Canis lupus familiaris: one gene and its partners. The protein of the gene in region 3 binds, or shares a complex with, the protein of the main gene of each other region. Links are inferred from orthologs where the notes say so. Each region holds a gene or a part of one and is shown on either strand. Other genes may lie near its edges.

What was found. The genes of interacting proteins can lie anywhere in the genome.
Region 1: the proteins of CCKBR (region 3) and GAST are in contact, whole or in part, in a cryo-EM structure (PDB 7XOW), measured with the Homo sapiens proteins. The link is inferred for Canis lupus familiaris from reciprocal best matches to the Homo sapiens genes CCKBR and GAST. Residues at the interface, in NP_795344.1 of Homo sapiens: Cys107, Pro114, Asn115, Gly118, Thr119, Phe120, Met134, Gly135, Val138, Tyr189, Gln204, Cys205, His207, Leu222, Val349, Tyr350, Ala352, Asn353, Arg356, Pro361, Ala363, His364, Leu367, Ser368, Ile372, His376, Tyr380; in NP_000796.1 of Homo sapiens: Glu85, Ala86, Tyr87, Gly88, Trp89, Met90, Asp91, Phe92.
Region 2: the proteins of CCKBR (region 3) and GNAI2 are in contact, whole or in part, in a cryo-EM structure (PDB 7F8V), measured with the Homo sapiens proteins. The link is inferred for Canis lupus familiaris from reciprocal best matches to the Homo sapiens genes CCKBR and GNAI2. Residues at the interface, in NP_795344.1 of Homo sapiens: Thr87, Thr89, Arg152, Ala155, Ile156, Pro159, Leu160, Ala162, Arg163, Val164, Thr167, Ser169, Ile241, Gly248, Leu249, Lys328, Val331, Leu335, His394, Arg396; in NP_002061.1 of Homo sapiens: Glu28, Ala31, Arg32, Glu33, Val34, Lys193, Leu195, Thr220, Phe337, Thr341, Asp342, Ile344, Ile345, Asn348, Leu349, Lys350, Asp351, Cys352, Gly353, Leu354, Phe355.

Annotation. Positions count from the first base shown.
Region 1 is NC_049230.1:20,957,940-20,961,867, reverse strand, and holds GAST (gastrin), read left to right. Parts: upstream 1-1,128; 5' UTR 1,129-1,325; intron 1,326-2,913; 5' UTR 2,914-2,918; coding exon 2,919-3,129; intron 3,130-3,248; coding exon 3,249-3,352; 3' UTR 3,353-3,434; downstream 3,435-3,928. UniProt on the Homo sapiens protein: Gastrin stimulates the stomach mucosa to produce and secrete hydrochloric acid and the pancreas to secrete its digestive enzymes. It also stimulates smooth muscle contraction and increases blood circulation and water secretion in the stomach and intestine.
Region 2 is NC_049241.1:39,499,361-39,503,485, reverse strand, and holds the start of GNAI2 (guanine nucleotide-binding protein G(i) subunit alpha-2), read left to right. Parts: upstream 1-1,325; 5' UTR 1,326-1,361; coding exon 1,362-1,479; intron 1,480-1,486; exon of another isoform or gene 1,487-4,061; intron 4,062-4,125. UniProt on the Homo sapiens protein: Guanine nucleotide-binding proteins (G proteins) are involved as modulators or transducers in various transmembrane signaling systems.
Region 3 is NC_049242.1:30,102,086-30,106,336, forward strand, and holds the start of CCKBR (gastrin/cholecystokinin type B receptor), read left to right. Parts: upstream 1-1,451; coding exon 1,452-1,602; intron 1,603-2,555; exon of another isoform or gene 2,556-2,668; intron 2,669-4,251. UniProt on the Homo sapiens protein: Receptor for gastrin and cholecystokinin. The CCK-B receptors occur throughout the central nervous system where they modulate anxiety, analgesia, arousal, and neuroleptic activity.

The DNA of each region.
Region 1 (3,928 bases), on a different chromosome or scaffold from region 3:
TAATTCTCAGCAAGGCTGGCTGTGAGCGTGGGTACCACTGCCCCTTATCCAGACCCAAGGGGCATCAGAACTCCCCCAGACAAGGAGGGGCCCTGATGACACATGAACAAGAGCAAAATCTCTAATGCCAACCATGGAAAAATCAAAAGCAGCCTAGAACTAGTTACATCTGTCCAAACCAGGCCAAGGTGGCAATTTATCAAAGAAGTCAACAAGCTTACTGTCTGGTGCTCTGGCACATCTTGGGCAAACCCTTTAGCCTCTTTGCTAACCACTTTAAGACATATTTTTTTTAAGGATTTTATTTATCTATTCATGAGAAAACACAGAGAGAGGCAGAGACATAGGCAGAGGGAGAAGCCGGATCCCTCTGGGGAGCCTAATTCAGGACTCAATCCCAGGACCACAGGATCATGACCTGAGCCAAAGGCAGATGCTCAACCACTGAGCCACCCAGGTGCCCCTAAGATGTATTTTTATATTGAAAAGTGGTGAATGAGTTATTCAGATTGCTATCTCCCTTGAAAACCAAAGGAGGGAGCCTCCAAGTACAGCCGCCTGAAGGAATCAGCCCTGAGTAGGGGGGTTGCAAGAGGCTGGGGGTAAAGGGCAGACCTGTGATGGAGGGGAGCTGCAAGCCAAACCCAGCCAGCACTAAGGCACAAGGAGTGGGGAGTGTTCAGGGATTTCCAGGCAAGGGTGGTGAAGAGGCAACCAGCTGCAGCCCCGGGCAGAGAAAATGGGGCCATCAGCCCATGCCCCATTGCCCCTGATAACTACCTCACGCACTGTTTGCAGAGCCCAGCAGAAGGGACAGGGGATCAATACAGCACTCCACAACCACACACTCCCTGCTCTTCAAACATCAATGTATGATGAAATATGCTTCCTCTGAATCCAAGGTCACTCGGTGCATCTGCCTCACCTGCCCTCCAATGGGACAGAGTCAGAGGACTGATGCGTCCCAGGACTCTGACCCCAACGACTGGGTGGGGGGCACTGTTCCTGATCCCAGGGAGCCCCTGGGGTCCTGCCTGCCCTCATGTCCAGCTGAAGAACTGCTCCAACCCTGCACCTACTCCTCACTGCCATGAAGGTCAACTCCCTTCCCTTCCCACATGTGGATGACTGACTGAATGATGGGGTAGGGCAGGGGTGACGTACCTGTGCCCACCCCCTTTTGTCTTGCTATAGCGGAGGCTGGCCTCATGGGGGTCTGGGAGGGGCCCTGAGAGCTTTATAAGGCAGCGCTGGAGCACCCAGCAGAGCAGAGAACGGAAAGACACCAGGCCAGCTACAGCATCGCCCACCTCCCAGCTCTGCAGGTGAGAGAACCCAGGAGGGGATTATAAAGGCGGGGAAGAGGGTTGATGGGAGGACTCCCTGCATCAAGGTACCAGGCTCACGCCTCCGTGTCTCCAGGGCTGCCACCCTTCTCTTAGCTCGAGGCCATACTAGGTCTCAGCTCTAGAACCCACCCTGGCATTCCTAACCCTTTTCCTTTGAGCTGACCTGATGCTTCAACCCTCCTACTTCACGCTCACCCCAGGTCTGCAAGGTGAGAAGGACAAAGGCTATTCTCTCATCTCTCGGGTGAAAAATCTGAGGCCCTGAAGGAGATGTGACTTGTCCAAAGTCACACAAATTATTTGGCAGGATTGGAACTAGAACCCAGGGCTTCTGGATCCCATCTCAAGCTCTTTCTTAGACCAGCACTGTCTGAAATAACTTTCCATGAGGAGGGGATCTGTATCTGCACCATCCAATATGGTAGCCACCAGCCACAGGTGCACTGGAAAGGTGGCTCTCCTGGGGGAGAAAATTTTAATATTAATTAATTTACATGTAAAGAGCCACATGGGGCCAGTAGCTACCACATTGGACAATACATGTGGCTAGAATGGGCCTGTGTGGCTTTGATCACTGACCGTTCAATCGTGTATCTTTAGCATCAAGAACCCAAAGGAAATCTAACAGAGAACCTCACTGTGAAAAACAGATAAAAATAGTATTTTATTCATATAAGTGTGTTCCTGGAAGGTAACATTTTTATATTTTGCTTCTGATAAAGCCCATCCATATAATGAGGATGAAAGAACACAAATGCAGAGAATGGAATTTTAGAGTCATTTGAATACCCAGTTTATCTCTGTATTATGGCTTCCCCAAACTCAGGTCACCCTGACACACAGGTGCAAACGGCAACAGCTTCATTTTTAACTGCTTGATTATAATCGCAAGATATTCCTCAGTTAAGCAAAATTGGCAAGCTAAGTTTCCCTCCTCGGGCGGCACAGAAACGGTGTGACCCGACCAGATAGTGAATATGCTGGTGGCCTCCAAAGAGATACCCTGCAGTCTGTAATGTGCACTTTGGTGTTACTGTTTAAAAGCTCACTTCAGGGGCACCTGTGTGGCTCAGTCAGTTAAGTGTCTGCCTTCAGCTTAGGTCATGATCCAGGGGTCCTGAATCAAGTCCCACATCGGGCTCTCTGTTCAGTAGGGAGCCTGCTTCTCCCTCTCCTGTTCCCCCTGTTTGTGTGCTCTCGCTCTTTCTCTCTGTCAAATAAATAAAATCTTTTTTAAAAAACAAAAATAAATAAAAGCTCACTTTAAACTACAAACGTAAATATCTACAGAGCCACTCACATGGCCTTGAATTTTGCAGAAGTTGCTCCAGGTTGTAAATTCCTCTGAGAGAAGCTGCTGCTGTAATTAAGGTAGGTGAGGAGGGAAGGGGCCAGGCCTGGGAGTAGGAGTGCCTGGCAGGAACTGGAGAAGCAAAATGAGGAACAGTCCACAACCCCACACAGCGGCATACGTGCCAGCAGAGTCCATCTGGTCCAGGCCCCTGGATGGACAGGGGTGCCCCGTACGGCCCGGCTTTCAGCTCTGCCCCTCTTTCCTTTGCAGACAAGATGCAGCGACTGTGTGTGTATGTACTGATCTTGGCACTGGCTCTGGCCACCTTCTCTGAAGCTTCTTGGAAGCCCCGCTCCCGGCTGCAAGATGCACCCTCGGGTCCAGGAGCAAATAGGGGTCTGGAGCCACATGGGCTGGACCAACTGGGCCCAGCCTCTCACCACCGAAGGCAGCTAGGGCTCCAGGGTCCCCCACAGCTGGTGGCAGGTAGGAACCAGGACAGCCGCCTCTGTTTGCCTCACCCAGCCAGGGTTGGCCCTGGCCTTGGTTTGGCAGCTAACCATCCTTCCCGTATCCTCACATCCTCTTCCTCCTCTGACCCTCAGACCTGTCCAAGAAGCAGGGACCGTGGATGGAAGAAGAAGAAGCAGCATACGGATGGATGGACTTCGGCCGCCGCAGTGCTGAGGAAGGGGACCAACGTCCCTAGGACAGAGCTTCAAAGCCCAGCTATCTCCCAGCCCCGCCCAGCCCCATGAAAAACCAATCAAAATAAACTAGCTTCCAATGGATCACCTTGTGTCAAGTGTGGGGCAGGAGAGGGGAGTTGGTGGGGCCAGGGTTGAGACTGAGCACTTTCCTCCTAGCCAGCCTAACACTGACCACAAATCTAGTCACACAGGTGAAAAATGGTGATGGGGTCGCAACCAGAGTCAGCTTTCCTTTTCACTTTTTAATATTTTACTTATTTATTTATTTGGGGGGGGGAGCAGTGGGGAGGGGTAGAGGGAGAGAGAGACGCAGACTCCCCGCTGAGCAGGGAGACCGAGGCCGGACTCTATTCCAAGACTCTGGGATCATGACCTTAGCCAAAGGCAGATGCTTAATGGACTGAGCCACCCAGGTGCCCCAGAGTCAGCTTTCTAAAAGATAAATCAAATTGTGCCACCCCAGGTTTTAACCCTCCAATGCTTCCTGTTGCATTTAGAATAAAACCTAAACTTGCCAGAGCCCTAAGCCCAGCCCTGTTGTCCTCAGGGCAGGTGCCATGTTCCTCCTCTCTCCC
Region 2 (4,125 bases), on a different chromosome or scaffold from region 3:
CCTGGAGGAACCACTGGAGGACTTACAGGCCAATGGCTCCCCAACAAGGGAGCCATTCAGATAGGGATCCATAGACCCTCCAGGGAGAGCAGACGGCCTGAGGATTTGGAGCTGAGACAAGATGTGTGGCCCGGTGGTAAGGAGGGAGTTTATGCTGAACAGGGGGCTGTGGGTGGCCAGCTCCCTTCCTGGCTTTGTAGACCTTCTTGGTCTTTGGGCTGGGGCGTCCTCGCCTCATGGTAGTGGGGCCACACAGGACATATTTCTCTGTAACCCTTGGCAGACCTTTCACTGGAAGTCCATTAGAGGTCAGGGCTCCCTTCCTGAAGAGGATCAGAAAGACTGCAATGTTCTGCTAGAAACGCTGCTGGCCTCCGTCCACCTTTGCCCAGCCATAGGGGTGCAGCCACTGTCCAGTGGGGACAGGTCATAGGATCAGCGCCACTCATCTATCCAGAAATCAGGTAGACCTTTCTTTTCCCCACCCCCCACCTCTCTCTCTCTGGGCCTGGTTGCCATGTCCCAGGCTAGAGTCCCGGATGACTACAGGCAGGAGGATGCTTCCCAGATCGATGAAGGATATTTAAAGATTTGGGTGAGGAGAGGAGGCACCCGGCTGAGGGAGACAGCTGGGCAAAGGTGTAGAAGTGGCAGCAGACATTTTTTAAGCTGCAAACCGAGAGAGAAGAGGTCAAACCCGCCTTAAGACAGAGAAAGCCGAAGTTTAGAGAGGCTCCGGGGCTCTGAAGATCCCGAAACAAGTTTATTGGGTTCATTAACTTTAACAGGACGAAGACACGCCTCCTCCACCCCGCTAGCCCAACTTGCTTAAGCTCGAGGGTTGGTTTCTGCCCAGCCAGCGAGGTGCCCCGGATCCCCACCCTCGGGCTACAAGATCCGCCCGCCCCCGCCGTCGGGCCGCGGAGCGCCGAGCGCTCGGCACCCAATCGGAGCCCAGCCCCGCCCGCAGCTCGCCCCGAGCCCAATCCCTCTGGGCTTGGCTCCGCGCCTGCCCCTCTTCCTCCGCGCGGCTCCGCCTTCAGCCCGGGCCCGGGTCTGGGCGGGGCCTAACTGCCATTCGCTCCGCCCTCGAGCCAATCAGCGGCCCCGGTTCTCCCCTGGCCCCGCCTTCGGGCCCGCCCCGGCCCAGTCCCGGGCCTGGCCTGCTCCGGCCCCACCCTCGGCCCGCCCCGCCGTCGGTGCGCGGCGGCCGGGAAGGCGCCGCCCGCAGACGCTCGGAACTGCCGACCCGAGAGCTACTCGTAGAGGCCCGGCGGCGGGAGCCGTGTGGGTCGGGCGGGGCCGAGCCGGGCCGGGGGCCGTGCGGGGGCCGGGCGGCGGCCGGGCCGGCGGACGGCGGGATGGGCTGCACCGTGAGTGCCGAGGACAAGGCGGCGGCCGAACGCTCCAAGATGATCGACAAGAACCTGCGGGAAGACGGGGAGAAGGCGGCGCGGGAGGTGAAGTTGCTGCTTTTGGGTGAGGCCGCGCCCTGCTCTGGGACCCCCGATTCCCCGCCCGAATCCCCAGACGAGGACTTTGACCTCCAGACTAAGGGCCTTCAAGTCCTGACCTCACCCCCTATACCTGGACTTGAACTCCCAGACCCCGCCTGGCCAGGACACCCAAATAATGGTTCAAAACTCTGGGTTGGCCTAGATCTCTGATCGGAAGCCCAGACTGTAGATCAGACCCTCAACTCGCAGACGCCTAACCCCCAGACCCAGAACCTGCTTGACCATCGACCCTTGCTGACCAACCTCACAGACCCTCAGAGTCCCCCTGCCTTGTCCTTCCATCCTTCTCTAGACTTTACTCAAAAACCCAGAACCCCACTTGCCCCCACTCTCAGGCACCACCTGTTTCCCCCACCTGCTCACCTTGTTCCTATTGGGCATAAATATCCATGGGGCCCCTGCCAGCCCCCACCTCCCTCCTTCCCGCTCTTTGCCCCATCCCTACTCTGAACCCTGTATCCTCCACCTGTGCACCCTGACTCCAGGGTACTTCTTCAGTGGAAACTGTGATTGCCCATGAGCCCTCTCTCCTGCCAGAACCCCTAAACCTTTAGATACTCCTCCCTCCATCTGGCCCACCAGGTCGCTCTCTGCACACAGTACTACTCAAACCCCCTGCTTCTCCTCCCCTAAGTCCTTTCCCCACACTTTGGCCTTCCAGATTCCCCCACCCCTCCTGCACCGGTGGGCTGGGCCGGGCCCGGCGGGGTGGTGGGGGCCCAGACTCAGGGGCTGGACTGAGGCTCCACTGGTTGCGCTGGGGGAGGGAATCGGGCCTCAAGCTTCGCGGGGAGATTCCTCCCGCTGGCCGTTTCCCAGTTTCTAAGCCCCATCTGGGCCGGTGAGGGGGGCGTCTGGGGAGTAGGAGGGAGTGAGTATGGAGGAGTTTGGGTTGCGGCGCCTCCAAGGCCAGGGAAGATGGTGGCGGCTTGAGGGGTGGGGGGAAGTGGAAGTGGTGAGACAGCCGACATATTGCTGCCCCGGCGGGCGGGCCGAGGAGATATGTTGACGGGTGCTGGGCTTCCCGCACCCTTTCTGGGCCGAAAGGCCAAAGACTTGGCCTCCGGGAGTCAGGGGGCCTGTCAGATCCTGAGGCCCTGTAAGGGGGAAGTGGCGGACCAGCTAGATGAGGACTTGGGGGCCAGATGGAGTTGGGAGGCATCTGAGGTGGACTTTCACGAAGACTGTGGGCCTGGAAGCTGTCCCTAAGCGGCCTCCCGCCGGGAGCAGGTGCGGTGCCCGGTGGCAGCCTGATTCGGGGGCTTTGGGGTTGGGGGAGAGGTGCCCTCGCAGCAGCTCTGGAGGCTGGACAGTGTCTGTGGGGGGGTGTGGCCCCTCAGCCTCAGAGCCGCGGTGGGGTCCCCGGGCTGTGAACAGCAGAGCCTCCTTGCTGGGGGCCTGGCCGAGGGACAGTGTGTCTCCCATCTGAGCCCATCTGTTGACTGTCCCTGGGGGCCTGGCCTCAGGGGCACAGCCCAGAGGTTTCAAAATGGCATCCGTTCCGCCGCCGCTGCGGGTAGGAAGAGAAGGGGCGGGAAGGGGCGGCGGCCCAGCCTCCTGGGCTGTTTTGCGTTGGGCGCTTGCCTCTTCCTGTCTTTGCTGCGAGTGCGGCAGCACCAGTGAGTGGGTGTCGCCAAGGTGGAGGGCCCGTTGCCGCTGCCCACTGGGCCTGGGTAGGGTCCTTCTGGTATCGCTGTCCCCTGGTGCCCACCCAGGGGCCTCTGGCTGGCCCCTTCTCGGGCTGATGGGCTGAGGAGACGTGGGACTGGGCCATAGGGCCGTGACACAGAGGGCTCCTGGCCCTCTGTGCACCAACCCCATTCCACTAGTCTTGTTCCTTGGAGCTCAGCTCAGGTTTTGGGCCTGGCATCCCCTCCCACACTGGCCCGGCAGCAAGCAGGGGTGCAGGGTCTGGCTCAGCATTTTCTAGGCTGAGGAGTCCACCTCAGCATCCTGCTCCCCCTCTGGCCTTTGCTTCTTCTGTTGAATGGGCTTCCTGGGTTGGGGCCAAAGAGCGCTGGGCCCAGGATGGAGGGAATAGGGGCCCCGTGGAGGTTCCTGTTGGGGGTAGGGGATGGGAACTAAGTAAGGCCTTGCAGAGGGTATACAGCAAGGGGCTGAGAGACCTACCTCTGCCTGAAACTGCCAATCTGCCATGGCTGCCTGGGTAAGGGTCCTGGCTGGCCCATCCAGGTACCGGGAGGTGATGGGAGCCCAGCTGGGGCAGCTTCAGAGTGCTGGGTGCCTGTCCCATGTAGCGGGAAGAATTCTGTCCAGGCAACGGGACTCTTAGGTTGGGCAATTGCCAGCCTTCCCTTCCAGCCAGAACCACGCCTGCTGCCCCACCCGCATCCTGGCTCCTTGCCCTCCTGGGTAGCCCTGCTGGCGGATGGGCACCGGGGGCAGAGGCAGATGTGGTACATGCCATGAGAGTGTTTTTCCTGGAGCTTGGTCGAGAGGGGCAGAGCTGCTGATACCAGCCCTACTTCTGGGACACCCCCACCACCACCACCTAGTTCAACCTGACTGACCAACAGTTCCCAGGTGGGATGTGGGGCCTTGGCTTTGTGTTTTGGGGGAATGTCTCTGATTTGGGATGGGCTGGTGT
Region 3 (4,251 bases):
ACTCCGTGCTAGCTGGAACAGGTCCTCTCCAAAATATAGACTGGATAGGGCTCTCTGAATTCCCCAGAAACTCAGACCTCATCCACAGTCTAATCTGCTCTTTGACCGGTGCCCCCACCTCCAACAGATACTGCTGGGAGCCCATGAGTGGAATTTCAAGGTCATATTGGAGTTTCCTTGGAATGAAGAATGGAGGGCCAGCACGGCTGAAATATAGTGGAGGCAGGTCCTGCCAGAGGAACTGAGCCCACCACCTCAGGCTTGTGTTTGTCCCCTTAAGCTTTGCTCCCGCTGCATCCCAGGGATCTGGCCCCTTTCCGGTCCCCTCTCCTGGGAACCTGACCCTCCCCCCCATGGCTGCTCCACCTGCACTGGGAGCAAACAGGGAGGGCCAGTGTGTCGGTGAGGGTGGGCGAGGGTGGGCGCTGCCTGGAGACCATGAGAGCCAGCCGCCCCCTTTCCTCTTGTGCCCAGGGCTGGGCCGGGATTGGAACCAAGCCCCACCATCAGCGCCCCCCCTCCCCCGTTCATTCTAAGCTGTTCTCACTGCTACCCAGGCGGCCCTGACCCCCAAGTCAGACTCTTCCTCCGCGCAGCCTTTTTGCGAGCCAAGATTGCCCGAGGACAAGTGCTGCCCGCCAACACCCCCGCACACACCCCGCCCCGCCGGCGTCCTTGCCCCGGGGCGGAGGGTTCCTTGGGAGCCTGGGTGTTGCGCCCCAAGATAGGAGGCGGAGGGTGTGGGGGCAGATGCAGGGGCAGATGCAGGGGCCGCCCCAGCCCCTTGCGAAGAGATTCAGGGAACTATGAGAGCGATAGTGTCACGGTCACTGGGGCCACTGCGGCACAGGACAGTAACCCGCGGCTGATGCCACCGTGTTAAGTGCCACCTCCACGTCCCCTGACCCACCAGGGGGAAATGCCGGATCCCACGGCAGCCGCGCCCTAACTCCTCTTACCCTCTCCCCCCCCCGCACCTCCCTCTCCGCCACCCCTCCATCCACCCGTAACCCCCACCGCTACCCTCGCCCATACACGCGCGCACACACACACGCACGCACACACACGCACACACACGCACACACACGCACACTCCCAAGAATTCCACCGAGGGACGGTGGCGAAGGGGAGTGGGCGGGAAGGAAATCTCTAGGAGAAAACCGGGGAGCCCGGGGAGGGGGCGAGCCTGAAGGCCATCGGGGGGCGGGGAGCGCGAGTCCCGAGCGTGGGAGGGGGGCGGGGAGTCACCTGGCGGGACCGCGGCGGCCGAGCCCGGCGGGGAGGCGAGCCTAGGCGGGGCGCGCAGAGGAGGAGCGGCGGGGCAGGGGCCAGGGCTGGGGGCGGGGACCAGGCGGGGCGGGAGCCTCCGCCCGAGCCGCGGCGCGAGCAGGTGGAGCCGCAGCGGGAGCCCGCCCGGCCGAGCGGAGGGAGGCGGTGGCTGGGCCGGGGCCATGGAGCTGCTAAAGCTGAACCGGAGCGCGCAGGGGTCCGGAGCCGGGCCGGGGGCTTCCCTGTGCCGCGCGGGGGGCGCCCTCCTCAACAGCAGCGGTGCGGGCAATCTCAGCTGCGAGCCGCCTCGCCTCCGCGGAGCCGGGACACGAGGTGGGTGCCCCCCTAAACCCCCTCCGCCAGCTCCTTCTCGCTGCACCCCACACCGGTAGAGGCCCCCACTGCCTCCCCGGACGCCTACACCATCCCCTCAGTACTCCCTCGGTCCCCAAACAGCCCCCCCGACACTTCTGCCCCCCCCCACCCCCCCGCCCGTGCCCTCCCCAGCTCATTAAAAACTCCATCACAGCTTCACACCACCTGATGGGAGCCCCCTCACACCCGGGGCTCCCGGCCGCACCCAACACAGAGCCCCCTTCTAGGCACAGACGGTCAGGGGGCAAGGACCTCCTCTTCCCTCCAGGTCTCTCTTCCTTTTAAATCCAGTTCACAGAGCCACAATGGGGAAGGAAAGAAAAGAAAAGAAGGCAAGACTGGGGAAAGAAGAGGGTTGGAGGAGGGAGGGAGCACTCTGGAAGGCTTAAATGGGAAGTCAGTTATAATCTCCTGTGTCCCCCACCCCAACCCCCAGCCTCACCAGAAGAGAGCCTCAAACCTGAGTTAGGCTGGACATGGGGGGCTGCTCCCTAGAGCTGCCTGTCTCCATTTCACTCCTCAAATCCTCCAGCCTCCCAAGGTGGAATTCTAATCAAGACTCTGTCCCCTCTCTCTTCTGTCTCCCAGGCCCTTCCAAGGCCCCTCTCCAACCTGCCTCTCTTTAGGTCTCATCTTCTTACAGCCTGGCTTGGCCCTTCATCTCCTATCCATTGTGCCACCATCTCTTCCCCACCCCCAGTGGTTCCACTTACTCAGTCCCCAAAATGACTTTCACTCCTCCCACGGGCCAACAGCCGCATTTTGTTGATAACCCAGCTCACAATATATGTTTTCCCTTCCTAAACCTTTTCTTTCCTTAAATGTCTCCTGAACACCTGCTGTTGTAGTTGAGCAAGTGCTGGGGACATAGGGATGAAACAGACCCAGTCTAGACCCTCTTCTGTCCACAGTCAAGTGCAAAGGGAGACAAACCAGTGAGAAAATAACAACGTGAGAAGTCCCAGGAGAGGGTCTGAATTGTGGGCATCCAAAGGAGATGGAAACCAAGAACTTCATAGACGAGGTGAACCTGGGAGCTCGGTCTTGAAGTCAGCCTCCTGAGAAGTAACTGAATAAAAATTAAAAAGATGAAGGAAAGCCAAACAAGTGAAGGGGCAGGAATGGCATAAAATAAAATAAAATAAAATAAAATAAAATAAAATAAAATAAATAAAAAACCAGCATTCTAAGCCGAGGAACAATATGATTAAGTGCCCAAAGTTTAAATCTATGGCACTTTCGTTCGCTGTGTCAGTTTCTGAGTGCCTGAAACATACAGTATAAGAGAGGGAAAATGAGCACTCGGGATGAAGACCAGAGTTTATGGTCTAGAGGGTTTATGAAGAGCCTCATAGACCAGGCTAAGGAGTGGGGATTTTTTTTTAAAGATTTTATTTATTTATTTGAGAGAATGAGCACGAGCCAGGGGGAGGAGCAAAGGGAGAGGGAGAAGCAGACTCCCCTCTGAGTAGGGAGCCAGTGCTACCAACCTGGGGCTCAATCCCAAGACCCTGGGATCATGACCTGAACTGAAAGCAGATACTTAACCCACTGAGTTGCCAAGGTACCCCAGGAGTGTGGATTTTTTATTATGAGGGTAATGGCAACTACTGAAAGGCTCCACAGTACAGCCAGGATTAGTTCTATAGTGTAGAGGATGGACTGGAGTACAAGATAGGAAAGGTGGGGGCTTGGGACGCCTGGGTGGCTCAGTGGTTAATCGCCTGCCTTCAACCCAGGGCGTGATCCTGGAGTCCTAGGATCGAATCCTGTATCGGACTCCCTGCATGGAGCCTGCCTCTCTCTGCCTGTGTCTCTGCCTCTCTTTCTCTGTCTCTCATGAATAAATTAATAAAAATCTTTTTAAAAAATGAAAGTGGGGGCTGGGGGGACACTTTAGAAGGCTACTATATTACTCTGGTGAAAGATGATGGGGGCTTAGACTAAGGTATTCACAGTGGGGATGGAGAGAAGTGGGTGGATTTGAGAAGCACTTCTGGAAGGAATCAACAGAATTTGGTGATTCATTGGAAATGGAGAGGGAGGAAGAGGTCAGGGGATGACATCTAGGTCTCTGGCTTGGACAAATAGATTAATGTTGGTGCTATATCATGAAGAAAACAAAGGAACAGAAACAAGTTTGAAGGAGAAGATTATAAATTCAGCTTGGAACCCACTGAGTTTAAATGCTGGTGAGATGCCCAGGTGTGGTTAACCAGTGAACTGTTGAATCTGGTCAGGATCTTAGGGGAGAGGTATCAGCTGAAAATACAGATTTAAAATGTCTTTGCCTACAGGAGTTAATGGAAGCCACGGGAATAGATAAAATCATACAAAGATTATATAGGATAAAAAGAAAAGAGGTCCTGGGGCAGAACCCCAAAGGAAATTGATATTTTTTTTCAAGATTTTATTTATTTATTCATGAGAGACACAGAGAGAGAGAGAGAGAGAGAGAGAGAGAGAGAGGCAGAGACACAGGCAGAGGGAGAAGCAGGCTCCATGCAGGGAGTCTGACGTGGGACTTGATCCCAGGTCTCCAGGATCAGACCCTGGGCCAAAGGTGGCACTAAACCGCTGAGCCACCCGGGCTGCCCAGGAGATTGA